3 linked regions of the Drosophila melanogaster genome follow. The protein of the gene in region 2 interacts with the protein of the main gene of each other region in a pairwise test. Each region holds a gene or a part of one and is shown on either strand. Other genes may lie near its edges.

Region 1 (10,276 bases), on a different chromosome or scaffold from region 2:
CGCTAGAACCAGCGGTACCGCCTGGCGCGGAAACTCCTCACGAAGCTTGATCAAAAACTGTGCTTCCACCTGCGGTTGTACGTACTCGCTAAGGCAGCACAACAAATACTGCAGTAGATCGAAGGAGATCTCCCGGAGACCGCTGTCGGCTGGGCCGGTGCCTTTATTACCCAAGTAAGAGTCTATAAGTTCGCTGAGGCTACCTTTTAGGTTGTTCCTGGCAGAATGTTTGAGTTCTGTGTACGAGGAGTGGGTCAAGGCCAAGGCAAAGACGCACTCACAAACCTTGTTGATGCCGGTCAGTCGGGCGACCTGGCCAACGAGATCCGCTACCGCAACAGGCTTCAGGGACTGCTTAGGAATGAGTATCCATAAGTAATCAACACATTGTGGGCATTGTAAACTCAACTTACCTTCTGGTTGCTGGCGAAGAACTGGTCAAAAGCGTAGCAGATGTTGGACACAAACGATGAACTGTGAAGCTGACGCTCCAACTGGATGCCCAGGAGCTTCGCCTGCAGCTGGACCGTAACTGATGGCACGAGATCGCTGAAGTTGATCACGGAGAACAGGTGGCGCAGGCTGCTGCGATCCGCTTCCAGGCCGTGCTCTTTAACGAACTGCAAGATGTCGTAAATGCTATCAGTAATGTATGGTTTAGAATCAAAGAGCTGCATTGCGTAGGGTTTGGAAGCCAATATAAGTGCCTTGACAGCGACTGCCCGCAATCTGGGACACATATCACTGTATAAGGGACAGTGTATGTTTCAAACGATTCCTCAGATTCTGCGGTGACCGGGATTTTTTTTTATGTGATTTTCATCGCAAACTTGGAAATTTTGACAGGTTCTATTATGTTCTGTGAGTGTCTCAACTTTTCTCTGTACAATTGGATATGTGTTTACGGATACAGGGCAAGATGTAAAGTAACATTTTGGAGGGATTATTTCTAACTCCAGGCAACTGTTTTCAAAAGTAAATCCATTAAGTCATTATTTCTTGCCCGCTTAAAAACTTTACCCAATTGGCTTTTTAAAAGCGCAACCAGAGGGTTAAAACATGAATTTTATCATTGGGAATTCCAGTTTAGGTGCACCATTGTTGGGCTCACAGGTTTCTGAGATTATCTTGAATGCTATAACTAAATGGAAGACTATATCTCAAATTGGGCTATCGTTAAGTTAGTTAATGTATTTTCTATCCGATAATTTCTCCATGGAATCCAACAAATTCCTAGACCTTTCTTACTATAAATTCCGTTGGGTTATCCTAGTACTTCATTCCAACATTGAATATCAGTGAAAATTTGGTAATCCTACTGAGTTCGAATAACTTGAAAACTTATCAGGCTTTTTAAATGGCAGATATAGATTGTTGAGAATTTCAAAATACTGAAGTATATGACTCTGTTTTGTTATCATTTTTTTTTATCATTTTTTTTAATTTTTGAGGAATATGCCATTTACTGTCAAGAAAACGGGATCTGTAGCATAGTTTGTCCCACAAACGATTACTTTTTAGGGGATTGTTGGGCAAATGGTGCCATTCTAAGCCAAGTATTTGTTATGATACTAATTTGAATGGCAAAACTTTTCTAGGAGGCTAGATATCCCCCTCCCTCCCTACGGATCCAAAACTGTTGAAATATTTGATCCGGAGCTCGGAGTCCGGAATCAAGGCCTCACTCCGAACGGGGGAGCGAGACAACAGCTTTGGCCCCGCCGTCGCAGCTGCTCCACAACAAATTACACACGCGCCCTCTCGCTCGCACACGTTGGCGAAACGTTACATGGGTAAGGAGAGAAGAGAGCATGACGGTGCGCGAAAGGAAGGGGGTCACAGGAAAAAGTGCGACATATTGCAACTCTAGCGAAAAGAAAGCGGCCGCAATTGATATTCCCACGCAATTTGTCCCACGAACTTACTATTCAATTTGGTTTCTCTCGTTTGGCAATGAAAAAACAGAAGTTTCGGGGCCGAAAAGCCCTGCGCTTGGCTTGGGCTTCCCAATTCGAATTTCGCAATTCGATTTCGCACTACTACGCTGCAAAATTCACACTGCCATCAACTCACGAAACACGTTTGTGGCTAAGCGCACACAATTGGCCTGGTTTTACACATTCTATAAAACTTTTAGCTTAAACAAAACGCTCACAAAACGCGCAACGCCGTGCAGAGAAATTTTTTCAGCTGCCTTTACCAAAAAACTGTAATGGCGTCGGCAAAAATGCACGAGCGAGTGAAATGGCAATAGCCCATTCGTGAGTGCGAACAATTGGCAACTCTGGTTGGCCAGGTGCGATATGTTGTCGGTTTGGCAACACTAAACCCCCGCCCCCTACAAAATGTTGTTGTTATTGTTGACAAAATGAATTGGAAATGGTTCATGGAAACTTTGGTAGAATAACTTGGGCACCTACCTGATTTATTTGCTCGCTGCTCTCATTAAAATTTCGCTTGTTCACGTGCTTGACCAGATTTCGAATGTGCGTTGGCGGTGTCTTCAGTTGGCTCTCTACGTTCATAATTCTACGTATCAGTTGTCAATTCCTCAGCGGATGTTTCTTGTTGCTGTTGTTTTTGTTGGAGGCCACCAGAATTTTTTGTTCAGCACACACGTTTAGCGTGCACTGGTATTGGAGATTAGAGATATTTGACGTATTCGCTGTTGCTTCTTGGCGCTTTTCATTTCACCTACGGCGCAATTTGTTTTTGTCTCTGCCTTCCTTGGTTTTTTTTTGTTCTTTTTTGGGTCTGTAGATTCATTGGCCGCGGCCCCCGTATAAAAGGGGCCATCAGCAGCTCTACATTGCAGGCGGCATCTATTTACGCGTAAATCAAATAAACATTAAACTCGGTTTAATGGTTTCATGAGAAAAATCCGATTGGCTATGTCCTCGGCCCAGTGTGTACAATATTGCAATAGCTCACGTAATGAAACAATATGAATCAATCCGCACGTACAGCGAAAACAGAAATGAAAAAATACTACTACTACCACACACACGCACGCACACACGGGCAATTGAGGCAGAATATATGGCTGATCGTCGTCGACCTCCTTTTCCACTTCCTTCCGGTTGCTTTGGTGTTTCAAGTTTAGCTTTTGGGCTCGTTTGTATATGTATGCTAGGAAAATTACTTCAAATTTGTTTGCACTCGTGGATTTTTTAATTATTGCCGAAATGAAAATTTTGCATTCCCTGGGAAGCGTGTTCAGCAACCGATAGTTCAGTCACTACTGCTTGGCACTCACAACGAATAGTGTTACAAATCACGGGTTTGTGATTAAAATATAGAAATCCATAACGCCATGTGGAACTTATACCAGAAAAGCTGTAATACTCTTTTGAATTACCAAAAACGGCGGCAAATCTTGCCGATTAGTAACGGATAAATAGCCGATGTTTTTCCGTTAAATTTAAACTAGTAATAAATATACAATAAATTCAAATGCTAATACATAAATTACGCCTTAATAAATAAATATCAATAATAAATAAGAATAACACAATTGCTTAATCTTGTAGCGTCAAGCAATTTTAACTTCTTATTTTAATGTTTATCGTAAAGATGTTTCCGCAAAGGTAATTTATTATTAACCTATTATATAATATTTACAATTTTTTAAATGTTGGGTTCAATAATTTGAATATGCATATGGCCACAGTAGTTCCAACCGCGAGTCGGTATTTTTTGGGGGCCCTCCGTCCGGTCACACCCCGCCCCATCCACATGCAGCCCACTCCGCCCCCACATAGTGTACATAACAAACGGGCTTAATTGGCAATTTAGCAAGCAGTCAGTTAAATGTGCGCGGCAGGCAGTCCCATCGTCAGTGCTCTCCTTCGGCAGAATGTGCTCCTGCGAGCTGGTGGTGTCCTCCGGAGCTGGGACCCCATCTCCTCCAGCCTGTCCCCCTCGCCGTGCAAACCAAACTATAGTTTCGAGGCGCGCGCTTTCGCGTCGGACGCTGGAGCTTCCGCTCCAGCTGCAACCGCCCAGATCTCGCACCCAAAAACAGTGAGTGATTTCCAAAAGCTTCACGAAGCCACCAAAAAGAAGTTCCAATGTAAGCCTCAACCAGTCGCAGGCATATGCATATATGCGTAGTATGTGCACGATCTATAAATACCCAGCCGCAAAGTGGTCCCATTAGTAACATACCCTCCCGTTTCGCACCACTTGACATTTTCAGCCAAGAAGCTGCCCTCCGATGTGCATCCAGATGCGGTCTTCGCCTGCAACGAGCTCGATCTCAGCGAGGTGCAGGTGTACGGATTCGATTACGACTACACGCTGGCCTGCTATAAGCCCATCCTGGAGGACCTGCTGTACAATCTGGCTCGCGAGATGCTGGTGAAGAGGTTCCGCTACCCGGAGGACATCCTCCAGCTGGAGTACGAACCGAACTTTGCGGTACGCGGCCTGCACTACGACGTGGAAAAGGGGCTGCTGGTGAAACTGGACAGTTTCCTGCAGCTACAGCTGGGCTCGGTATACAGGGGACGTACCAAAGTGGAGGCGGATGAGGTGCTGAAGCTCTACCACAACCGCCTGCTGCCTATTGCCTACGTGGAGGGGCCGAACAATAGCTACAGGGTTCGTATCGATATCTTATCACCTGGCGGCTTACGCTTGGGTTTTGTGTTTAGCAATCAGTGATTTACGATCTCCTTTCGCACAGCATAACACCAACTCCAAAATGGTGCAATTGGCCGACCTGTTTTCTGTACCTGAAATGTGCCTGCTGTGCAATGTAATCGAATATTTTGAACGCAATCGAATCGACTACAATCCAGAGATTGTTTTCCATGACACCAGGACCGCCATGGGCTCCTGCCATCCCATTATGCACGGCAAGGTGATGCGGAACACTGAGAAGTACATAGAACGAAACCCGAAGCTGGTCAAGTTCTTCGAGAAGCTGCAGCAGGCGGGCAAGAATCTCTTTCTAGTCACCAATAGCCCGTACTCGTTTGTGTAAGGGAATGTGACATCTTTTATTTTACCACAATTAAAATTTACGAAATCGTTATGTCTGCATTTGTAGAAACTGTGGCATGTCCTTTCTGGTCGGCGCCAACTGGCGTGATTTCTTCGATGTGGTCATCGTGCAGGCCCGCAAACCAAAGTTCTTTACGGATGAATCTCGACCAATAAGGCTATTCGACGAGCGAACGCAGTCACACCTATGGGATCGGGTATTCAAGCTGGAGAAGGGAAAAATCTACTACGAGGTAAGGGTTTCCCATTCCCACTTGGTTAGTAATCAACCCTGTTGTCTGATGTTCTTCACAGGGTTCGGTGAGACAGCTTCAAGAGCTGAAGGGCTGGCGTGGTCACTCTGTGCTCTATTTCGGAGATCATCCGTACAGCGACCTAGCAGATGTTACTCTGAAGCACAGCTGGAGGACAGGAGCCATTATTAGCGAACTGGCTGTGGGTGTTTTATATCAAGCAATTATCGTATTGCCTCTAAGGGTATTTTCGTATTGCAGCACGAAATTAAAACCCTCAATCGTAAGGACTTCAAGATGAGCGCCAACTGGCTGCAAATGCTGACGCAGCTCATCGAGGACACCCAGGACGATGATAGCGAGGCAGCGCAGATCTGCCTAAAGGAGTGGATGGAGGAGCGGGATCAGTTGCGGTAAGAAAATATACATTTATCTAGTGGCTTACGATAATATCTCTAAATCCGAATCCAATCTTCGACAGCAACAAAACGAAGAACGTGTTCAACGAGCAGTTTGGCAGCGTTTTCCGCACCTACCACAACCCCACTTACTTCTCAAGACGCCTCTTCCGCTTTGCCGACATCTACACCAGCGACATAACCAACCTGCTCAAGTTCTCCACCACCCACACCTTTTATCCCCGACGGGGTGTAATGCCCCACGAATATGCCTCCCACTTTATCTAGAGAATTTGTGGGGACGAATGCCCGTTAGGAAGCTCAGATTAGTTGTAGGTAACAAGAAGTGCCAGTGTTTAATGCTTGTAGCTCGAAACTAGCGAATTTAATGCGTGTATATCGTTATTTACATTATTGCTCAATAAAATCGTTGTAATAGTTCAAGAAAACCTCGCGATGCTCGCTAGCCAGATAATCCACCTTACCTTTCATCTCTAGCAGTTCCTTTCTATCGGTGCGGCATTTCTTCTGGGCTATGATATCCCACAAATAGGTCATGCGAGCAATGTATTCCGTTGAGTTATCGCCACACTGCGCAGCAATGCCTTCCAGCTGTTTGCGGATAATCCTCGCCAGATCTTCATACTCAAACTCATCCAATGAAGTGCCTCCTGTTTAAGTAGAGGTTTATAAATTACGACGTAACAAAATCCAGCCGTAGCCTACCATCTATCTCATAAAAACAGGCTGTTACCAGTTCCTCGGCCATAATTCTTTTTAAGCTGTGGTGATCCACAAGCCACTTGTCTAGATCATCGAATGCCTTGAACAGCGCCTGCCTTTTTGACGAATCGGCACTGCTGCCGATGAGTCCAAGGAACTCATTGTACCAGGCGAAATGTTGAAGCTCGTGGCACACCGTGCAAGTAATCGGTTTCTCTGCATTGCATCTCAGCCACCAGCGAAGATTATTCTGCTGAACTTTGGCGTCTGGCAGAAATTCTTGTCGGCAGTTGGGCTTTTCGCAGCGATAACGATGAAAAGAAAGCTGGAAGATTGGGAAAGACATTTACAAATGGCTTTGCTTGGTTTGAAAACGTACATAGTTCTGGTCGGGATCAGTTCGTGTGCACTTAGCGCATGTGCACTCAAATTTGTAGATGGCCTTGAGCGGATGAGATCGTTGTAGCTTTAAACTGTTTCTGTAATCCATTGTATAGCAATTGAAGATCTCTTCGCCTTCTAGAATGTCCTTTGCAGCGTAGTTCACCACGGAACATCCATCGAACTTGGTGCGAATTGAGGGTTCGCAGGCGTGGTTGCACAAGCTCAAGTAGGGCAGATTGATAGCCGTGATAGGATCCGAGTGGGATAGATTGTGCAGCTGGCCGCGTTTCAGGTGTCGAGGCTTTTGCCACAACTCCGGCTGCAGCATGACAAACTCTTTTGGCTCCATGCCAACTCCGAGCAACGCATCGCCTACATGCCCATTCGCCAGCAACTGGCCGGCGAAGCGCAGAATCAGTGCTGATATAATCAGTTGCCAATCTTCAATGCTGGCTGGCAATGAGTGGAACTGATCGTAGAAATCGGTGTGCTCTTTCAGGTAAAGTTGAAGGAGATTGGCACAGAGGATGTGGTAATTTAACTCCTCATCGATAGCCTGATCCAGTTGACTGACCATGCGCAGGCTTCGCAAATACTCTGGAGCGTTTTCACTCTCTTCCGGTTTTCGGGACAGATTCATTATTTCTTCCCACATACCCTTTGCACTGGTCATCTCTTGCAAATGAGGCCTTATGTAGGGAATGTAAGTCAAAAGCAATCGCAAGGCCAAATGCGAAATGCCCAAAAGTCGGAGGATATCCTTTCTGTAGGCGGCACACTCGAATTTGTGGATGGCCGAGTGCGCCTCCCGACACTTCCTAGAGCAGTAGACTACCCGCTGATGGCAATTGGGGCAGGGTATGGGTGCGCTCATTAAGGTGGCGGCGCACTGCTGGCAAATAAGCAGTTGCTCCAATGGAACAAAGCAGGAGGCGCGCTCTGAAAAGATTACGTTGCCTTTGCTAATCGCTTCCTTAGCCACCATATATCGACCACGGGGACCAGGATCTGTAAGGCTGAGAAGTAAAGGTTACAAATTAAGAAGTGGCCAGAATCGATTTGGAAACTTACATTTCCCCTAGAGATTTATCCACCACTTTCCCTTGTGTTTCCTGCTCTCTGGGTTGGTTCTTTAGCAGCTCCAGTTTCTGCTTCAGGTCTTCCAGCTGCTGCTCAAAGCTCTCTTTAAGCTGCAGCTGCCCGAGATAATCCAAATGCTCCTCTAGCGAAGCAATCTTCTTCAGCTTCCAGGCGCAGAAGGCCTGCCGCATGATCACCTTGTGCCGCAGCCTTTCCGGGTATCCGCACTCCAGCGCATTGGAGCAGTCGTCATAGGCTTCTCTGTAGTACCCGTACTCCTGCAAAGCTATTCCTCGGTTGGCAAACGCCAGCGACAGCTCTTCCACAGCATTCTCAGCCTCGAAAACGGCTTCCGAGTAAAGCCTGCATGCTTTCAGAACCGAGTCCTTGGAGGATCCCGATGCGGACTCTTTGAACATAAGGTTTCCCTCCTCGCGCAGATTTTTCGAACGTTCTGCGCATCCTTTCCTGTCAACCGGTTGCTCCAAATCCTGCAGCAAGTCGAGCGCCAGCTTCTGGAATATCTGCAGAATGTCCGCTGGCATGGATGCCAATGACTTGAAGGTTTCGAACTCATCCTTGTAGTTCTCATTCAGGGTTATCAGTTCGTTCTGCTGGGAGAAAGTTCTTGCCAAACGTTCCATGTCCACCGGCTGCAAAAATTGTTTACAAAAATCAAATCATGCGGTTGGTGAATTTTAGGTGCTTTTCGAGTAGCCGCTAATTAAAGAATCGATTATTTTTCAAAATTTAAGTTCTATTTCCCTAGTTAGTTCTATTCCTTATGGAATTATTTCACATTCTATTGAAATCAAGGGATATTATAAAGTCGTCGAAAACTTTTAACTTATTAAAATTAAATGTTTTATGATCACGGGTTATATCAAAATCTGGATTATCTTTCGGCCACTCGACACATAACAAACCCAAGCCAAGAAAAAGAATTAACTATTCATAAGTGGAATAATTTCTGATTCTCCTAAAAAGAAAAGTTGTCCAGATTAGCTAATTATCGATTTGCCGGCGACTATCGCACCTCTCCCACCACCAGGCGAAAACGTAAACAAAGTCTGGCAGAGAACGCACACTCATGCAGAATTGCGGGATTCCGTGACAGATTTAATCAAATTTACGGATTTCATCAGTGGAAATAACTTCGTTAGCCCTCTACTACCTTTTTAACAGCCAAAAGTCACTATGAAAGACGCAAAGGTGAGTTTCCCAGCTGATCGGAGTGGCGCCTGCAGTTACATCATGTCGTTTGGACTTCGATTGCTGTGTCTCTGTATTTTCCTGCTGAAAAACGTGAAAACTGATCAAATTGGAAATGAGTTTCAGCCCTTTCCCGTGCTCAAGAATGATAACCTGCTGCGCGCCGCACGTGGCGAGGTGGTGGACCGGGTGCCTGTTTGGGTGATGCGCCAAGCGGGGCGCTACCTGCCGGAGTTCCAGGAGCTGCGAAAGCACCACGACTTCTTCACCGTCTGCCGCACCCCGGAGCTAGCGTGCGAAGTGACCATGCAGCCATTGCGCCGCTTCGACCTGGACGCCTCCATAATATTTTCGGACATCCTTGTCATTCCGCAAGCACTCGGCCTCACCGTGGAGATGCACGCGGGCGTTGGTCCCGTTCTGCCACAGCCCATCGTGGTGCCGGAGGACCTCAAGCGCCTGACGCCGGACGGAGCCTTGTCCCGCCTCAGCTACGTGGGCGACGCAATCACCATGATGCGGCACAAGCTCGAAGGTCGAGTGCCGCTAATCGGCTTTACAGGAGCGCCGTGGACACTAATGGGATATATGATCGAGGGCGGTGGGAGCAAGACCATGTCGAAAGCTAAAGCTTGGCTCAACGAACATCCTGAGGACTCTAAGCTGTTCCTGAACCTGCTGACCGACGCAATTGTGGACTACCTGGAGATGCAGGTGAAAGCTGGCGCTCAAATGCTGCAGGTATTCGAATCGTCCGCCGAGCATCTCTCCAAGGAGCAGTTCCTGCAGTGGTGTGTACCCTACCTGAAGAGAATACGCGACGAGCTGGTGGACCGTCTCACAAAGAAGGCCATCCCCGTGGTTCCCATGGTAAGTTCCCATGGACTAAAACATTGATAAGATGCTTACTAAATGGAATTTCCATGTAGACGCTGTTCGCTAAGGGTGCTGGGCACTCGCTGAAGGAGCAGAGCGAACTGGGCTACGACGTTATTGGCTTGGATTGGACTGTGGATCCGCTGGAGGCACGCAATTTGGTCGGACCGAACATTACGTTGCAAGGCAACTTGGATCCTCAGGACATGTACCGCGATCCTGATGAGCTGCGCAACCTGACCACAGAAATGGTGCACAAGTTCGGCAAGTCGCGCTACATCGCCAATCTGGGACATGGAATCACGCCTCAGACTCCGATCACGAGCATGGAAGTGCTGGTGGAGGCGGTGCACAAGGCTCTGT
Region 2 (9,339 bases):
ATATGTACATATGTATATATATATGTACATATATAGTACCACTCGCATTTGACTTATGCTTTGGCTTTTCGTATTTATTTGTTTATGACGCACAGAGTGAAATCAATTTGCTTATTGATTTTTATATCAAAGTTCATGTTTTCGTTTTGGTCTAATTATGTTGTAAATGTTTTATGACCCCAACCATTAGCAATGGGAATAATGTTATTCGAGGAAAAGGAACTCCTAATTGTTATTTGATGATCTTATCCAGTTAATGGATGGAAAGGGTTAAAAACAAGCGCCAAGGTAGTTTTATTGTTAGAGATGTATTAATGACAATATAATCATAAAGTGGGATATTTAGTTTTACCTTGTTTTGTATAAATAAAAAAATAGTCAATTTGTGGCGTAAATAAGAACAATATACAGTGAGGAGTAAAACATGGTCAAGAAGTCATAAACTTTTAAGTTTTTAACGAACTTCAATTCATTAATAAATAATTATTTCTCCTGTTTTTTTACAGCTCCGCATCTCCTTAAAACATCGTGATAGTTTCAGAGATCCCCTTGCCATGCAATTAGTGCCCCATTCACAATCAGCCACGGGATTTTCGATGTACAAGTGGCTCAAGAAGCTATTGCATCTGAAAAAGGGTAAAAAGACGCCACCAAAACCCACAAAAACGCCTCCAAAAGTGCCGAACAAATTAAAGGAGAAGAGAGTGCACGGCCAAAAGCAAACGATGACCAATGACTTGGTGCTGGTTATAATGCCAGACCAACTGTATAGGGGTACCGAAAACACTGCCAAATCCAAACTTTATAAACTGGCCGAGAATCGCGTCAGCAAGCAGCGTCATCGAAGAAGAAGTCGTCACGAGATAACCAAAGCCTCGGTTGAAACATTTAGAACAGCGATTCCCAGCGAATGCAATAACAACAACTACAATGTTAATAACTGCATAAGGAGGCGAAAGGATAAGCCCTTGCGAAATAGTGTACGATATAAGTTGGCATCTCTTCATGCCGATATGAATGTTCGCTATGAAAAGGAACACGCTCTAACACGTCAGCTATCGGAAATGTGCCGACTGTACCGATTGCAGAACGAACGGTACAAGGGACCGGAAATGGAGCTATCGGTCGGGCAGTTGCAACAAAATATCGAAGCCTATGCCGAGGACATTATTAAAACTGAACACGAACTTCTCGAATTGAAAAATGAAATTAAACATGATATATCGCTGATTAATAACTTAAAGCGTCTGACGTTGGAGGAATCGGAGGCAGATGCCGCCTGTAAAAAAGGCGCAGCAAAAATAACACATCCCTTACAGGAAAATGAAAATACCCCTCAAGTTGCTAAAAATACGCAGGAAATGCAGTTTGTTGATAATATTTACGAGTTTTGCGATAATAATGCCAGTATGCTGGTGTAATTGCAATTATTTGTAACTTGTTAAGTTTTCTACCAAAATAAATATACATTTTGTATAAGCATTATAAATTAAGACTTTTTAATGGTTGTGTTTTTGAAAGACTTGTTAATGATTAATGATTTCAAATTACTTAATAATACAAGTTTTAAATAATTTTAAAACGGTAGTGTGTTTTTAGGGAACAAACTTATTGAACTATCTACTTTACTATTTCACTATCATAAACGTTCAATAACCATATGAATAATCTTAATCTTAAATTCTTAAAACTCCCAACTGTTAAAATGACAGTTTTTTTCGATTTATGCGTGAGTACCGTTAAGGGGTTTGAGTCAGGGTAAGTGTCAATCAAAGACTCAAACCCACATATGTTTCTGGACAAACATTTTGGATACATTTGAACTCTGGTCCCATTCAATCCTGGCAGAAAACAAAACCCATCAAATTAAAAGTATTTTAAGAAAAGTTGTCAATAATTTCGGGTAGCAAATCACTACTTACTTTACAACGAGTTTTGCTCAAATTCGAAGCTGCATCACCTGCATTTAGGACAGCCAAACAAATTTAATCGTCTTAATTAGGTAAGTTCAATGGTGGCTCGCAGAACGTGGTCGCAATCCACATTTTCAGTAGTGGTGGTGGTGATTTGTTGTTGCAGTACAGTAACGCAACGGATTTGATTAAAACATTATTAATATCTTATCGATAGACGTGCACAGATCCAGCAAAATCCTCTCTGGTGACTGGTAATTCCTGCTATTACTTTTTGAGTGGGTGGGGATAAAAAGTGAAAGCTACTGCGCTTCTGCCGCCTTTGTTGCAAATCCCGTTTGGGCCACAGATGATTAATGACCTTTTTGCAATCCACTCGTACTAACCCTTCTATTTGCATTCGAATTTGCATGCAGCAAGCAATGGCACGTGGACACCAGAAGATCCAGTCGCAGGCGAAGGCCTCCGAGAAGCAGGCCAAACTAAAGAAGCAACAAGGACACAGTGCCAACGACCAGAAGAAGGCGGCCCAAAAGGCACTTGTCTATGTGTGCGCCGTTTGCAAGGTGAGCCAGCTACAGTGAAGCCTCTGTAAAGCGAACAAACTAGAGTTTGAAAGTGCCTATTGCATTTCATCCAGAAGGTTAACTTCTGTATGATGGAGTTATTAGTCAACTCAAATAATAACAAAATGTAGTGCTCCTTAAAACTATCATAATCAGAAACACTTTTACTTGTGATATTGTTTTAACACTAGTTTCCGCTCTTACCCATGTTTTTGAGTGTATAAAAAAAAAGTATTTCAATTTATATGCACTTCCTACTTTATTAACATTAACTGCTTTTACTTGTTGTCGTAAGTAATTCAAATTAATTTAATTGAACATGAATATTTACCAATATCAAATGAATATGTTTGTCCAACGTTATCTTAAATTAAGTGATGACCAAGCACTGCTGATATTTGATTACTTTAAATGATAACATATTGATATACGATCACTGTTTTCAAGTTGCTATATTTGCACCCCTAGTTCCTTTATGTATGTGGATAACAATTTGGGTGAAAACCTAATCGAATCTCGCCTCCATTTCAGTCGCAAATGCCCGATCCCAAGACGTATAAACAGCACTTCGAGAACAAGCATCCCAAGAACGACATACCCGAGGAGCTGAAGGAGGTCTGATGATCGTTTCACTTTAAGCTGAACGAGATGGACGAGTTGCCTACCAGTACGAAACATTTGCAACAATAAATTTGCATCAGCCCTAAGAAGAAAGCCCACAATCAAGCCGAAGCCAAGAGGATGGATAATAGTCGTAATAATAATATACAAATGCCAGTTTTTTCGTATACACACTGCTGAATTTTGGTTTTGTTTTATACATTGAAATTAACACAGTATGCGATTGTTCGATGTGTGGCTAAACCAATACAAAGACACCTACCTACCTTAAAAAATGAATAGAAATTGTTTAATTTTGATATTTATTGCCTAAGCCACAGGAAGATATCTAAAACACCATAAATACTCTGAGCTCCGTTTTGGATTTTTGTTTACACGTGAAAGTTTTATACGAATTATGCCACAAATGAAAGAAAATAAATCTTTTTGTACTATAACTAATTTATGTAATTGACAATTTATAAATAAAAATGTTAAAATTATATAATTTGTTATAATATAATAATTTATTTAAATATTATTTTAGATGTGCTTTTAGTTTAAGATAAAAATAATACTTTTTCGGGGGAGTAGGTAATATTTTTAAATTACGAACATATAACAAATACTTTTTTATTTTATTACGAAAAATAAAAATGTTGAAATGCTTAAAAATTATACAAATAATTAGAAATAGGAAAATTTATTACGAGTACCGTTAAGTGGTTTAAGTCAGGATAGCTGTTAGTCCAAGACGCGAACCCACATATATTTATGCCCAAACATTTTGGATATAGTTCAGCTCTGGTCCCATTTAATCCTGGCAGCGAAACAAAACCCGACAAATTGATACAAATTTACGGTTAATCGTTAATAATTTCGGGTAAAAAATCAAAACAGTTTGTAACAACGAATTTTACGTAACTGCAAAGGCTGCATCACACCTGCATTTAGTACAGCCAACCAAATTTAATCGGGTTAATTAGGTAAGCAGCGGTGGATTCGCAAAAAGGGCGCAGAACGTGGTCGCAATCCACATTTTCACTTGTGGGCGTGCTTTGTTGTTGTTCGAGTACAGTGTCGTGTCAGATTTTCCAAAACATAAATAATTGGTATCTTAACTATAGTATACTGACCGGAAACTGTGCTTTCCGTTTGGTAATCCCAAGAGTCACCTATTCAGCTGTGTGGGAGAAAGTGAAAGTGACTGCGCTTCCGCCACCTTTGTTGCGAATCCCGTGAAGCACATAGACGGTACTACTACATATGCTAACTCATCCATTTCCACTTAAACAGCAAGAAATGGCACGTGGACACCAGAAGATCCAGTCGCAGGCGAAGGCCTCCGAGAAGCAGGCCAAACTAAAGAAGCAACAAGGACACAGTGCCAACGACCAGAAGAAGGCGGCCCAGAAGGCACTTGTCTATGTGTGCGCCGTTTGCAAGGTAAGCCAGCTACAGTGAAACCTCCCTAAGTCAGCAACTGCAGTGGGTTAATCAAATGGTTTTGAGACAGCTCGAAGAATCACGCAAGAACTCGCTTACTTTAACGTCGAGGTTTTAAAACGCAAATACTAAAGAAAATTTATCGCAAAACATTCGACATCTCAGGAGCTTTAAACTAAAGAATTCGATTCAGATGAATGTTATAGTAATGCCTTATTTTATATTTATTACTCGTACTTTGTGGTTTATTTGAAACCTAATCGAATCTCGTCTCCATTTCAGTCGCAAATGCCCGATCCGAAGACTTACAAGCAGCATTTCGAGAACAAGCATCCCAAGAATGACATGCCCGATGAGCTGAAGGAGGTCTGATGACCGATGTGGCTGCGTGCATATATAAATATATCAAGCTGATCGAAATCGACGAATTTCCTACCAGTACGAAACTTTTGAAACAATAACTTTACAACAGCCCCGACAAAACAAACATCAACATTTAAGTCGATGAGAGGAGGGCGCGTAAAGTTAGAACATAGTTTCCAAAGCTAAGGGCCCAGCTGAATTTTTTATATACACACTGCTGACTTTTGGTTTATACTTTGAAAATAACACATATGGCTACCACAACAATACAAAGAAAATTTACACATAGTAAAATAAATACTTTTGTTTTGATTTTTATTTTCCCTGAAAGGCAACTAGCAATTTGAGTAACAATAATTACTTGTGCTTTGTCTTTGATTTGGTCTATTATGAACAACGATGCTGACAATGTCGTAGTTTTGTATACGATTTTTTTACTAAAAAACCTTTGAATACATCATGTAAATGAGAATTTATAAATACAATAAAAACAGTATAATTGTTAAAACTAAAGAGAAAAGTTATTGCTGCAGAAGCATTGTCTAATCTTATGGTTAGTGTATAAATGCAAAGCATTCCTGTCTTTGATGGTTTCAATGCTACTTAACATTTGGCAACATCCCACTTAAAATTTAGGCTTTCTATGTACATTGTTTTAACAAGCACATTTCGTTCTATAGTTAAAAAGTATACATTAACGATTTCCCTGCACTTTCAGTTTCATGAAAGTTTTTTCAGTTCTTTGGTTGGACATTCAGCTACAATAGGTTGACTCCCGGAACTGCTGTCCTCTTTCGTTGTCGGAGTCTCAGCGGAGTATTCTTCATGCGCGAGTTGCATAAAAACCAAATCTTCTTTTGCCGGAAAATCAGCGAGTACTGTAATGCCAATGTTGTTATCCGGCAGCGCAGGCGTTTCCTCGTGGTACCCAAACCAATAGATTATCATTCCAGGACCAAAACTGACAATATATATATATATATATATGTAATTAGAATAGTTATAGAATGAATTCTTTCATATTACCGATTGCAGTAGCTTTGCAGCTGCTGTTGGATGTTCGACTTGTGTCCCTTGGTGTCCCCAAAATTGGCCTTGCTCTCGATCCAGTTGATCACAGAGCCTTTGTAAAGAAATGGCAGGATCATCTTGATGTCCGGCGTCTTGTCATATCCCATGCGTCGCAAATCTTTCTCGTCGTAGAAATGGATACCCGCCTCCTTAGCCAGATTCTTAAGCTTAAGCTCGTACTCCTCGCCAACTATGCGGCGTCGCAGGTCCGTTATGGATCCCTCTTGATTGTCGCTGACTATGCACTGCTGCACATTGGCCGCCAGCTTGGGATCGTCGATAAGATGCGGATGCCTAAGAAGCTGTGAGATGTGCGATCGATGCCGATCCTTGTACTTCTCCTGCAGCAACATCCTGCAGAGAGCCACCGGGTTCAGTGCTTCGGCACAAGCCATTCGGATCAGTAGGGCATTGTCGTAGTATAGGTTTTTCTGCTCCTCGTAGCTGAATCCAAGCAATTTGGATTATTATTGGTCATGGTGTCAGGAAAGAACACGAGATTGTGGCCTTACGCTTTGAGAAGCCTTTTCCCGCGCTGATCCTGCTTCCAGTGACCACGCGACCGGTTAAAAAGCTCCGACTGCAGGATGCATGTCAATGCCATTGGCTCCACGTCCCTGAAGAAGCGATTCCTCAACTCGAACTCGCAGTCGATGGCCAAGCCGTGGAAGCCGTTGATAAACCGGCAAATCTTATTGTATTCGCCGCCGCTCAGAATCTTTCGCTTCTGTTGCCCATTTCCGCCGGCCAAATCCGGAATTTGGGACATCATTTCCGGCCAGAAATACAAAACTATTTCAGCGAACGTATGAAAGAGCGCCAGAATAAACAGCTGTTTAACGTACGCTAATCGAATACACATTTTAATTTATCGATAGCTGACGTGCCTGAAGTTTCTCCACGTCGCGAAGCGTTCACACTGGTCGGCAGTGTATATCGAAATGTTCCGAATGCATTTAGTTCAATTATTTTCATAAAATTGTTATCATAATATTGACTTCTTGAAAAATGTTTAAAATAACAAAATGTGTGTAGTGCCACCAAATCAGTGTGTGCGAATTAAGGCCTAAAACAAAAACAATCGGGTTCGAGCATCGGCTATCGGTAAAGGATCCAATATCGTAACTATTGTACCGATGCGTACCAGTACCGCGTAACGGTACATTGATTGCATTACAAATTTATAAATTATAGAATATAATACAAAATAGTACACTTGGATATTTATTTTTAATTATTTTTTGGCAGCAATTTCCGCCCTTGGCTGTAATGTATTGAATGAAACAAAGTGTCTTAATTTTGATATATTTTTATTTTTATATATTCTTATACATAGCACGGGTTTACGATCATTTCTTAGGTTAACACTTCTATTATTTGCGTTAAGCACTTTTACCACTCAACACAACTAGGAAATGTTATTTTTTAACTACGCATAATGGGTGGTATGCGAATTTTTGTATAATTGTTGACCATTTTGACTTAAAGCTATAATATAAATAAGCTTGGTTTTTTATAAATGCTATTCTTATTCATCATTTGGAAGCAAAGATCATTCCTTTTTGCTCGATTTAACAACAGTTTATAAATGTGCACCTAAAATAAACTAAATGAGATACGAAAGCGTGTAATAAATAATAATTTTGAATAAATAATTGTTTAATAGTGTTGGTGTAAAAGGCAACAAAGAAAATGTGTTGTTATTGAGAGTCTACTTGTGTTTTAACTCCCTTATCTAAGCGATTAATTCGAGTTGGTTCATTCAGCTCGATGGTCAAACTTGGTTTAACAATAAGTCATCTTAAAACTTGACCTGATTCCGGCCGAAAACTCTTACCGGTTTACACGATCTAGGATTAACAATATTAAAATTTATTACCTTAAAGTTGATCTTACGGCTGCGTAATTGTTAATTGTTACTATTGAATTATCTTGGGCTAGGTCTAACTTCTTCATTGTGTGTGTGTGTGATTACCTTAATGGTTTTTTTTTAAGCTTGACAGGCTGAATATTCATTATTTTTTTAAATTCTTTGCAATTATTCGGTTCACTTCATATAGTCGTGGTATTATTGAAGACGTTTGCAAAGATTTAAAGTGTACTTGACTAAACAACAGCGTTTAGTTGGTCGATCGAAATATTGCACCATTGTGATGTTTAATTTCGGACAAACTTTCTTGAATTCACTCCTTAAATCTAAATTATTTTAATACCAATTTGTTACTTGACTTTAGAGCTCTTCGTTTAAGGATTTACAACTAATCGAATTCGTTTCTAGGTTAATATTTGATTTTGTTTTGTTTTTTTCGAAAGAAGGCATGGTTATGAGCTAGCGATTTCCATGAAATACCACCGGCAACATTTAGATATTAAGTTATTTATAAAATATACTTGCTTAACATACAGTAGAATCATATATAATTACGCACAGGAGTGATGGGGATGTGTTATTGCAGGTGAACGTGGGAACAATGCTAACTCTAATACTATTCCGGAAAAGTCTAACAAACATGCGCTTTAGGCTCTACCAAATAAACAATTAACAATTAATACAAAGCGATTACACTGCTAGTAGACAATGGGGCGAAAAGATGTTTTGTTTAGTCGATTAGATTTGGCTTCGATTGCGGATATTGTTAGTAGAAGTGCGGCGGCGGCAACGTTTGCGAGGGCAACGTTGTCGGCTGCTGTTCCCATCAGACAACAGAATCTTTCCGTATCCTGAATTTGTTAGCATGTTTTCGGGGGGAAAAGAGAGACAAGACAACATTTCATCAGCAATGGAAGGGATGGGAGTTGAGTTAGTTTCAGGAATTCGGTTGCTTAAAACTATTTTCGCACCACATATAGTTCTCAGTCTGAGGGGCACGCATAACGCCCACGCCGCCGCCCAGTCGGCGGTAGTTCATGCAGCCGCACAAACGCCATTGGTTCGTCTCTGGGTCGTAGACCTCGATGGTTTTCAAATAGGCGGAACCATCAAAGCCGCCCACAGCATACAGCTGTCCATTGACGACGGCCAGGCCAACCTAAAATGGTGCGATTTCATTTAATACAATACTATTCGCCGAGAAAAAGTGTAACAAAAACTCACCCCACTGCGGCGGGAGGTCATGGCCACGATGGGGCTCCAGGTATTGGTCAGTGGATTGTAGCGCTCGGCGGACGAGAGCTCCATGCAATCGTCTCGCCCGCCGACGGCGTAAATGTAGTTATTGAACACAGCACAGCCCAGGTGCTTGCGTCGCGTTGACATCGGGCTGACTGCTACCCATTTGTTGTGTCTGTAATGATAAAATCGGGGCAATGTAAATCAAACAAATACTACGTTCAAGTGCAATGTACATTAAGGTCATTTGTTACAAGCGATAGAAAATGTA
Region 3 (11,198 bases), 4.2 Mb from region 2:
TTCTGCTGAGTCACAGGAAAACCTTTATGCGCTCCATTCGCAATATAATGCGATGTCGCCAAAAGGATGTAATTCTCATCACCCTTCAATCGGATTATCAAAAAGCATCACAACATGCTGTGGGTAATCGACGAGCCAGGTCCATTGACTCCGATTTGAACGTGGTGTTTGCAGTGCGAAAGCAGCAAATAATACCCGATTCCGATGAATTCTTCACAAGTGATGAAATTCGGCAGACACTGATAGACAAGAAGAACGAGATTGAAAACGAAACCAACCTGGTGGTGGAGGATGTACTACCATCCACCTGTCAAAGCAACAAAAACGACTGCGTTCACGGGGAATGCAAACAGATATTACAGATCCTGAAGAACAACGTTACCACCACCTTTACGGATGTGATTAGTTTTGCTGCTCCATCTTACATTCCGGTGAATACGTGTGTCTGTCGACCAGGATTCGATGGAAAGCACTGCAAAGAGACTGTGAATGCCTGCTCCACGGATCCATGTTCCCCGCAGAGGATCTGCATGCCGTCTGGCTCGGCTTTGGGTTACCAATGTGTGTGTCCCAAGGGATTTTCAGGAACCTACTGCGAGCGGAAGTCTTCGAAGTGCAGCAATGAGTCCTGTGACATGGGTCTATTCACTGCGGTGTCCTTTGGCGGAAAGAGCTATGCCCACTACAAGATCAACAAGGTGAAGGCGAAGTTCACGCTGGAAAACGGGTTTTCCTACTCCCTGCAGATAAGAACTGTGCAACAAACTGGGACTCTGCTGTATGCCAGCGGCAAGGTGGACTACAACATCCTGGAGATCATAAACGGAGCTGTTCAGTACAGATTCGATTTGGGCTCGGGCGAGGGAGTCATCAGTGTGTCCAGCATTAACATCTCTGACGGCGAGTGGCATCAAATCAGCCTAGAGCGGTCCCTCAATAGTGCCAAAGTGATGGTGGACAACAAGCACGTCTCCCATGGCAGTGCTCCGGGTGTGAATGGCATCCTGAACATCCAGTCGAACGATATCTTTGTAGGCGCCGAGGTTCGTCCGCATCCATCGATAATTGGCTACGAGGATATTCAGCGTGGCTTCATCGGTTGCATGGCAAACATCAAAATAGCCAAAGAGTCGCTGCCATTGTACATTTCCGGTGGGAGTACCATTGCTGCCTTGAAACGTTTTACGAATGTCGAGTTCAAGTGCGATCCGTCGAATGTTCTGGTGCGCCTGGGCATTTGCGGATCTCAGCCGTGTGCCAATAGTGGAATCTGCAAGGAACTCGATACGGACGTGTTTGAATGCGCCTGTCAGCCCCGATATTCCGGCAAGCATTGCGAGATTGATTTGGACCCTTGCTCATCGGGACCCTGCTTGTTTGGCGGCAGGTGCGACTACCACGGACCGAACAACTACAGCTGCACGTGTCCCATCCACTTATCCGGAAAGAGGTGTGAGTACGGCAAGTTCTGCACGCCGAACCCGTGCAAAAACGGTGGCATTTGCGAGGAAGGCGATGGAATATCGCACTGCATGTGCCGCGGCTACACGGGACCCACTTGTGAGATCGATGTGGATGAGTGCGAGAACCAGCCGTGCGGCAATGGAGCGACCTGCATCAATGAACCCGGAAGTTTCCGTTGCATTTGTCCATCTTATCTCACAGGAGCCAGCTGCGGCGATCCCCTGTATTCGAACTCTATTTCTACAAAGCTGAAGAACTTTTCTATAGAGCACATTAGCGGGATCATTTCCGGCGTGGCCGTGGTACTGGTCATCATCAGTTGTGTCCTGTGTTGCGTGGTGTTGAAGAGGAGTTCCTCTTCAAAGCGAAGGAACCGACTAGAAAAGGACAAGAACAAGTCGTCGTACAAGGAGGCGAACTTGAACTCACTGGTGGACAAGGACAATTACTGCAAACCAAACGTAAAGTTGAGTAACTTGGAGGTTAACCAGCGTCCAATTAGCTACACAGCAGTTCCAAATGACAACCTAGTCCTGAGCAATAGGAATTTTGTAAATAACTTAGACATCTTGCGTAGCTACGGTTCGGCCGGCGATGAACTGGAAAATGTGCCATTCGAGTACCAGAAGGTTAATCGAAACAAACAGCATGTGAACATAAACTCCTGCCATTCAACCGATGCAGATAATGCCTACAAACAAGAATGGTGCGAGCAAATGCATTTAAGAACCTTCAGTGAAAATAAACTGAACAATGGTAAGTCAATGCCTCTTAGTGTCAGATAGCAAAAGCAAATATTAACCTGCTCTTTATTTCAGAACTTAAACGGGATTTCGGACCATCTGTGAGTCGCTTTTCAACTGGGAAACTAATCCAAGTTGAAATGCCCAACGTGTGCCACTCTTCCAGTGCGAATTTCGTTGATTATTCAGCTCTTGCCAATGGTCAGTATCATTGGGACTGTTCCGACTGGGTTCGCAAAAGCCATAATCCCTTGCCAGATATAACCGAAGTTCCTGGAGCAGAAATAGCTGATTCGTCGAGCTTACACAGCAACGATAGCAACGAGTCCAAGTCGAAGAAAGCCTTTTTCGTGCACAGTAAGTATAGAATTTAAAACTCGTTTCCCGGACCAATAACTGATTTCACCACCAAAAGGGGAAGACGGAGATGTTGATCCGACGAGGGATATAGCCGCGTTGAATGAGGATATCGGATCGGAGTATTTGGACTCGGAGGCAGAGAGCTGCTTGGAGCCGTTTATGTTGCCAAGATCAAGTAATCAGCCACTTTCAAGACTGAGTTCTTTTAATAATATCGAGAATGAAGACTATAAATCAAATACAGGTAAAACCCTTCGTTAAAATGTTAAATGCATCTAATAAAATACAAAAAAAAAAAAAAAAAAAAAAAAAAAGGAATTGATTATTATCACTAAACGTTTTCATGTTTATGTTCATAACAAGCTGATTTATCTTATTGGCTGTTACAAAATCGCAGTTCATTTTTCATTTTATAATTTCAACAATTTATTTAATACATATTGCACACAATATCTAACTCTTTCCTCTTATAAGTAATTTTGTTATTCCTTTAAACTTTCTAACAAATAACATCTTTGTATACTAACCTATTAAACTACTTCATTTCATGCAATCAGTGCCTTTACCGTCGAAAGTTAGTCATTCGTGTAAGTTTTGTATTCATTATAAGTAATAGTCCAATGGTTATTTATAAATTTAGGTCAATGCTTTTTTTATACTGAACCTGTATTAAATTAAAAATATTTGTTACTGCATATTAACCACATAAAATGTTACAAGAATCTTACTTCAAAATGTCCATATCTGATCTATTCCACAGGCAAAGTATATTTAAGACATCCTGATTCGTATTTACCGACGATGCATTTTCCAAGTGAGACCGATGGGGAAAGCTCTATGACCGAGGGGCCGATTTCTAGGATGGAAATAAAAACCAGGAGGACGATAAGTGGTAAGCAAGGGAAATGCCTTTACATATCTTACAAATATCACGATTCTCTCTAATTATGCAGAAAATTCAGAGGAGGCATACCTATTTCCATGCACTGTCGGAGAAATTGGATCCAACAGCAACATTTCGGTTCGACTGTGTGAAATTGAAGATTCTGAGTTGGAGGAGTTTTTACCACAACAACAAACAAACAATTAAATGACATGCTTAATATATAAGAACTACATTTTACACAAATTATTTCATTTCGTTAGATACTATTTTCCATAGGAAAACTTTGGTTATATATTTTCAATAAAAAAGACACAAAGAACATCTGCACTTCCATAGTATCATTAGTTTAAGGCCAAGGTAAGTTTACACTTACAAATAGTTATATATGAAAATGCATATTTAAATAAGTTTTAAACTGATTTATTTATTTCTTTTTGCTTGCCTTCGCCAACTTTTGAGCCATATACGATTTTCTCAGCTTTTCCAGCTTGTTTGAGCTGCCGAACCATTTATTGAACTTATCCATTATCTAAAAAGAATTTCAGTTAAATGACTTAGTTGCTAAACATGTATTAAGTAAGCAAGTATACCTTCTCATCTGGAGGGAAAATGGGAGGCTCATTCTTGCTCAGGAAATATTCAAGGAACTCGTTCGGATCCAATGCCTCATTCTTGAGTCGCATCTTACGGTCGATGTTCAAGGTCTCCTTAACGTTATCATCAATGTCGCCGGAGTTGTACGCCTGAAGGACGCGTGCCAGTGCCGAGTAGGCGTACTCCTTCATGTCATCTGGCGCGTTCTCGGTCATCAGTTCCAGCCACAGCAGGAAGCTAGTGCCGTAATCGCACTTCGGAATAAGCAGTACTTTTTGGAACGCTCGCTTGATGCCTCCATTGGCCGCCCAGGGCATGTTACTCGTGCCGACTAGTACAATTTTGTCATTTTTCTTCAGTGGTTTCAAGATCTTGCTAGCTAACGAGGTGCCCAGCAGTCTGGGGTTAATCTCCACTGCCTCAGGCGGAACCTTTTTCCAAAATAGTCTATGCGCTTCCTCGATGTACATTATGGTGGGCTGAAAAGCCTTAGCCACTTTTAGAATAACATGCAGGAAGTACTTCAAGTCTTTGGCATATTTGTAGGTATTCTCGGGACTTAGGTTCATAAAAACTGCATCTGGAGTAGACAGAAGGTTTAAGTGCTCCGACAAAAAAAAAAAAAAAAAAAAAAAGAACAATTCCCAACAAAATGTTACTATACCTAGTTCGGATGCAATGATTTCACACAGCAATCGTTTTCCGCTATTCAGAGGTCCAATTAGCAAAAGAGACTTCGGCTTCGGAACATCGAATTCGCCCATTCCCAGCATCGACTCTTGGATAACCATTTTAATGTCACCCTTTGCTGGGCCCAATGTGCTGAATTTTAAATCGATATTAATTTTTTTTGTTAGGCTTAGTAGCTCTTTCAACAAATAACTACAACATACGTTAAGCCATCTTCATCTCGAGTGTCGTCTGCCACAAAGTTGAAGTCCGTTATGAACTCATCAAAGTCCCTATGACCAATTTCCTCTATTATGCCGGCATCTTTGAGCTCATTGTACAGGGATTCCAGTGTCCGATCGCCTGTCATGTCCTTGGGCTTCTTCTTCCTCTTCTCCTTCTTCTTCTTAGGATACTTCACCTTGAGAGCCTTGTACTTCTCATCGTTATCCTTCGCCAAGGCCTCCCGCAGCAACTCATACTCAACCCTGGAAGTTGAAAAGTTATATTTTCATTGTAAATATAAATAAATTTACCTCATGTATTCGTCGACCAAGCCCCTCACTTCCTGATGAATCTTTGCCAGTTGCTCCTCAGTAACCCATTCCTTGATGGGATCATGATTCTTGTTTAGATATTCATCGACATTTCTCCAGTCCTTGGAGTACTTCTTCATTGTTTCTTCAATGTTTTCTAAAATTGAAGAGAGTATTTGGAGACAATGGAAACATTCTCCATTAAGTCAAACTATCTACCAATTGCCTTGCTTGCAGTTAGCTCGTAGCCAATATCGATGACTCCAGCGTCTCTCAATTTCTTCCGACGTTTAGCTTCCTTCATTTTCAGTTGTTTTAGCTTTTCCTTCTTTTTCCTTTTCTCTTTCTTCTCCTTATCGCGAAGTTTCTTCAACTCGGCTTTTGACAGCGGCTTTTTACCAAGGCTTTCCTGAAATTCCATTGGCGTCATTGTTTCATCAATGACAACCAGTACCGTTCCTTGTTTTACAGGATCGGGATAAGGATGAAAATTCCCAGTCGCGTCGTAGCTGTTAAGTACGAGTTATACGTTTTTGCCTTTTTTGCCTCAATGAAAAACAACTCACAATTCCTTGAACCATGCCCGGATATGATCGGATATATCTTCCATCATCCATGGACTTCGGAATTGCAGCAATCGGGTGCGCTCATCGTTGATCAAGTTGATGAAGTCCTCATCCAGCTTCTTCTTGAGCATCTCGTTCTTGTACATTTCCATAATAGAATTTGCCGTCTGATTGGGTCGCTTCAGTTTCCTAATTTTCTTCATACCATACAATTCCTCCTTGAACCGCTTCCTAATCTTAACTATTTTCCGCGTCTTGTAACCACGCCAACAACTTTGGATTTTACAAGCAGCATTGTTCTGTATTGCACTTAAGGCTTCCTCATCTAGAAAATAATTAAAAACCAAATTAATTGTTTTGAAACGATCTAGCTACTTGCCATCTATTGCGGTATCCGCTACATCATCCTTTTTGATAAGATTTTCGCAGGACTCGTCCGCCTTCAAGAAGTCAGCTGAAAAAATGGTTCTCTTCACGGGAATACTCATTGCCTGATCAGGCTTAAAGGTGAATTTGTAATTTATTTTCTTTCTTTGATGGACCTTGAGGAACTTTTTCTTGTCGTACTTTATGTTGGACTTGTAAACCCGAGCTCGGCGCGCCCTCTCGTGAGCTTGGATAAGCTTGACCGCCTCACTGATCGGAACCCAATCCTGGGCTGCCTTTTCTTCCTTTTCCTCATCGTTCATGTACAATCGGTTGTCGGCAATGATATTTTGAATGTCCAACGGGCGACGGTAAAGGAATTGTGGTGACCTCCATACGACCAGGTCCCGTGGTGTTAGCTTCCTAGCGATCAGCGCCTTATCTATGTAAATGTATTCGCTCATTTCCAAGTCTTTTAACTCCTCCTTGAGTTGCATTAGCTGCTGAGTGGCATTCTCCACCAAAACACGTACCAATGCCCGCTTTTGCACTTGGAAAGTATTGTGGTATATGAAACTTAACTTATTGACCAGCTCCACATACAAAACATAGAGCTCTGCGTAAATTTTATACGATACTGCCTTTTCCTCTGGCGGCTCAATCTTCTTCAGGCGGTTCTGCTTCTTGATTAATTTACCAATTTCCTTGCGCGTGTAGACCCAAAATTTATGGTTAAGATCGAACGACATTTTGGATTTTAGCTATATGTGTGTGTGTGTGCCTTCCTAAATAAAAAAAATGTCTTGCCGTGTTAAGAATATAGTATGTATTTATTTGCTTCTGTACACTTAATGAAAATAAGTCGATTACCTGGTTATTCAAGGGCTACTTAGTACCAATATAGATTTTGATTTTATATAAATTTATCACTTTATTTCACTTAAGATACGATAATCAGGGAATCCGGAAGGGAACAACCACGGCCTCTTTGTGGTCGATCTGTATGTGCGAGACACTGATGTGTGCCTTCTCGGTGAAGAGCTTCATCTAAAAACATACGAAATTGGTAAGCAACAAGCAATTTGCGAAAAGTAAAACTCACTTGAGCAGTGTCATCTGGATAGGTTGGCTTAGACAGATAGAACTGATGGCTTGGTACATCTTTAAGGAGACCTGTTGTTCATTTAATTGTTAGTCATCATTCACCCTTTCAATCTAGCTATATTGCAAACCTTTTGGTGCGATACTGGCGTGCTGGCCGTTGTTCCACTGTTGATGCAACCGCTGCGAGTACAATCTTATTCTATCGGCGTACTCCTGGTGCTCCAGGCTGTGACAGTCCATGGCTCCAACGTTTATCATGTTTCTGGAGAGCAAAGTAGCGTATAAGCGAATACAAATATAATATAGATAAGCGATAATTAGGGCTGTGTTGCTTTGTTGCATTGAACATCCCGATAAATGCTTGGGTATAACCATACTACATACTAGATCCTGCCATCGCTATAACTACGTAGGTATACTACTATAGTATAGTATAGTATAGCAATCGCTGTAAAATGCTAGCATTCCAATCAATGGAATTGTATATGATAGTGCCAAATGTGGACCCTATACACTATCAACTACGTACATCGCAGTATTCTGCACCAGTCTGGAGAGGGCGTTCTGATCGTCCTTCTTGGGAAGGGAGTGGGCGTAGTCGGTGCTGAGGCCATCGGAGTTGCTCCGTCGAAGGGCAGGACTATGGTTCACCGGGTCCACGAGAAGGTGTGTCCGCTCGTTCGGCTCGTTGGGCTGCAGATGGAACGCATTGTGTATTCGGTCTGTTGACGGGGAAAGGGGAATGTGCGGATTACCTGCGCACCTGGATCTTCGGTGCATTGCCAGCAGTTGCAGATCGAGGCTAGGTAGCTCCAAACAGAGTGCACATACTCCATTCTAAATGCAATTGTTCAATTGTTCTTTATTTTTTATGCAAGTTTTTCTAGGGATGGAATTGTACATATTCGATAAGATCAGTGCTACCAGACAGTTTAAAACAGCTGTATACATACTTGTTATCGATTAGGCGCTAAATATTACAATTTTAATCGGACATTAAATTCATGGGTTTTCATAAGGGAATACTAGTTTATTACTTACTGTTCCTAGCGTTATCCTTGTTTTATTTATTATGAAATACTTTTTATTGGGAATTAAGTTGATTTAAATTTATACTTTATTAATTTGTTATATTTTTATTGGAAATCGGCAATAATTGTGAAGATATTAAAAAATTTAACTGCTTTTGGTAGACATCAATTATTAATTTGAAATATTTATATTGCTGTTTTTTCTATCAACCTATATGACATTTTCCCCAACAGCCAGCCCACGAGAACGAGCACATTCTTGATTGATGAAGATGCCAAAATTTCAGCCAACGGAAGTTGCTTATCTCGTCGCTTCCTTCGTGCCAATCAAATGAATTGGGCCGCACATTTTTAATTGTGTCGCTCGAGCAGTAAGGACAAAGGATGCGGAGTACGCCAGCTACTCGCAAGGAACGGAGAACGCCCTTAAATCAACGACGCGGTTAACCATGATGGCGAAAGCGGCGAGGCGGAAACGCAAATTCATTGCCGAGGCTGCATGACATGGGGGCATGTGTGGCAGTGCTGACAGCTTTTGCTATCCTTTCCACAAGAAGAACCTCTGAAAAATGTAAAACCATAATAACATAATGTGTAATATTGGGGTTTCTGAATGGGCTGATGTTCTTCGAATATCTTACGTAGAGTGAAAAAGTTCAAGATTCATAAGAATTTAAAACTTAATATGGCCGTTAAAAAACAGTTTTTCTCTCCAATACGGTCTAATTTATTGAGTTTTCCCTTCAGTTTGTTCTTCTGTTTCCGCCGCCTAAGTGAATTTATTGTCTCCTCCTGGCAGCACTGATGTGGGCCTCGTCATCGCATCCTGATCCTTTGCGCCACCTCCAGACCCGGCACCATGCCCATATATTGAGCCAGACGCACACTCACACTTGCTGGCAACTTGTAACTTCGTTTTGCCCCGCTTTTGTTTCCGTTCCCTGGCAGCGGAAGCCGGGCTAGAAATTTCATAACTGCCACAAGGAGCAGCTTCACTTCAAATTCAATTATCCTGCGCCTGCACACGGCCCCAAAGGATATCGATCAGTACATCTAAGGAGGTGCATATGTCTGCGGCTTGCCGACCGGGAATAGGCATCTTACATCGTCATTTTGCGATACGCCATCTAAGGGATTTCCTTCGAGGATGTTGGGTTTTATCTAGACAGCTCATTAGCTGAGTAAGTCCATTGTTTTTAGATTTATGATGATATACTAACCAGCCAGGAAAACAAATATTATATACAAATTATGCATTATACATAAAATTTTTTTAATAAATTATATTTATTTTTTATGCTAAGAGCATTTAGCATTTCACTTGTGAGGAAACACTATATTCAGTATTTATTTAATTTGATGGCTTTGCAAAGTTCAATTTCTGCTAGCTCATTTGGTCTGGATGGGCGTGGTTCGGCGGAACTGTAGGCAAAAAACCTCAACCACATTAACGACTTAATGAGCACCCGCGAAGCAGTTTGCCACTTGATTGCCCACGGGGTGGCACCAGTCGCCGCTGATTGGATTCAGCTGGTGTTTTATCTAGGGCCTTCGACTTCCAGCCAGTTTCAGGTTCAGAATTCTCCGGCTCATTGTTGCATCGACAAAGAAACGCAGTTTACATCGAATAGCTGCGGATTATCGGAGCCACGCCCCCAAAACCCATACCCTCGTCCTGCCGCAGAAGTGCGGCACCACAGCGGTTTCAGTATGCAAAGCGCAAGGCATCCGGAGGCCACATAGTCCTCCGTCCACCTCCACTTCGGCGGATAAATAGTGCCGCGCAAACTTACAGCGGGAAGAACAACACTTTTATGCACAAGACTTTACATTTTTGCTGGGCGGACGCATCTGCAAACTGCGCTGTAAGAAAGTTAGGGTCGATATATATACTGGATTTGAATTAATACTCTAACAAGGATTTGTTCCCTTTTCACTTATGTCAAAGGTGTTATACTAGATTTGCTTATAATGCATGAATCCGAAATGATAGAGTCTATGTACTGACCATATGACATCTAATTTTCTTTCCGTGTAAGTTGTGCGTCCCACAACTCCAGAAACTTTTTGCCCCAGATTGTCGGTGTTGACTTGGTTAGCAGTTTGGCCCTTCGGCGAGCCTTTGCATCTGGCCATAAACGTCGGGGGAGGCGATAAAGTTGAACCTGATTATGCAGCTTTATTAGAGGTGAACGATCAACTCGGAATGGCCCAGAAAAAAAAGAGAAAAAGCGACTCTTGCAGTCATTAAAAAATATACAAATATATTGATATATTCTATATTATATAGTAGTATACCCTACAGTTCCACAATTCATCGCAACTCAAACTTATAACTTATCCCAAAATCGGGAAAACAATTAATCTTAAAATCATCAATAGTTTTCTTACAAACAAACTGAGAGGTCGAGATACATACTTCGTGGCGATTCGCTGCTGAAAACGTAATGAATGTAACTGCAGGGTATATAATCGCTGCAAACCAAACAAACATAATGTAAAATATCGATCCCAGTTAACTGGCTTACCGCATAAACTCGTATATAATTCCCTCTACCCTTTAAAATGTCACACATTCGTGCTAAATTCATAAACTTGCCGCTGTATCGGGTTTAAGCTGCAGCTGAAATACGACAAATGCTTTTGGAATGCAATTCAATTTCCTTTTTTGGCCAATTCGCGTCCTCGGCGATGTCGCTATCGCCGTATTTGTTGGCCTTAATTTTGCAGGAGCGATTCGCCGAGCAATCTGTTCCATTTCTGCTTGACATTTCACTTAGCCCTGGCTTAATTCCCGATTGACACGTCTGGCTTATTTTGGTACTACGCACTGCATTTATTTCCGACTGCGCTGGCAAATCGATTTTTTCCAAGGGACT

What was found.
Region 1: the proteins of CG18081 (region 2) and Nt5c interact in a two-hybrid assay, tested with the Drosophila melanogaster proteins (one large-scale study listed by BioGRID).
Region 3: the proteins of CG18081 (region 2) and CG14183 interact in a two-hybrid assay, tested with the Drosophila melanogaster proteins (one large-scale study listed by BioGRID).

The regions. Positions count from the first base shown.
Region 1 is NT_033778.4:9,575,765-9,586,040, forward strand, and holds Nt5c (5' nucleotidase C), read left to right. Parts: upstream 1-3,685; 5' UTR 3,686-3,810; coding exon 3,811-4,072; intron 4,073-4,198; coding exon 4,199-4,602; intron 4,603-4,687; coding exon 4,688-4,983; intron 4,984-5,053; coding exon 5,054-5,240; intron 5,241-5,301; coding exon 5,302-5,442; intron 5,443-5,501; coding exon 5,502-5,653; intron 5,654-5,721; coding exon 5,722-5,926; 3' UTR 5,927-6,049; downstream 6,050-10,276. Other genes in the region: Not1, read right to left, coding at 1-354, 414-740; Smyd4-1 (SET and MYND domain containing, class 4, member 1), read right to left, coding at 6,050-6,309, 6,365-6,686, 6,741-7,761, 7,817-8,469; Urod (uroporphyrinogen decarboxylase), read left to right, coding at 9,023-9,037, 9,164-9,907, 9,967-10,276.
Region 2 is NT_037436.4:15,829,920-15,839,258, reverse strand, and holds CG18081 (uncharacterized protein), read left to right. Parts: upstream 1-3,982; 5' UTR 3,983-4,065; intron 4,066-4,375; exon of another isoform or gene 4,376-4,379; 5' UTR 4,380-4,381; coding exon 4,382-4,525; intron 4,526-4,807; coding exon 4,808-4,897; 3' UTR 4,898-5,464; downstream 5,465-9,339. Other genes in the region: meru, read left to right, coding at 507-1,421; CG15715 (uncharacterized protein), read left to right, coding at 2,336-2,479, 3,011-3,100; CG12713 (uncharacterized protein), read right to left, coding at 5,609-5,849, 5,915-6,403, 6,472-6,731; dbo (diablo), read right to left, coding at 8,767-8,988, 9,054-9,243.
Region 3 is NT_037436.4:20,020,829-20,032,026, forward strand, and holds CG14183 (uncharacterized protein), read right to left. Parts: upstream 7,008-11,198; 5' UTR 6,934-7,007; coding exon 6,198-6,933; intron 6,144-6,197; coding exon 5,819-6,143; intron 5,762-5,818; coding exon 5,472-5,761; intron 5,410-5,471; coding exon 5,253-5,409; intron 5,205-5,252; coding exon 4,941-5,204; intron 4,870-4,940; coding exon 4,712-4,869; intron 4,628-4,711; coding exon 4,044-4,627; intron 3,983-4,043; coding exon 3,878-3,982; 3' UTR 3,859-3,877; downstream 1-3,858. Other genes in the region: kug (kugelei), read left to right, coding at 1-2,220, 2,283-2,564, 2,623-2,811, 3,125-3,154, 3,328-3,459, 3,521-3,657; Lamtor1 (late endosomal/lysosomal adaptor, MAPK and MTOR activator 1), read right to left, coding at 7,139-7,231, 7,287-7,357, 7,417-7,550, 7,818-7,981, 8,044-8,124.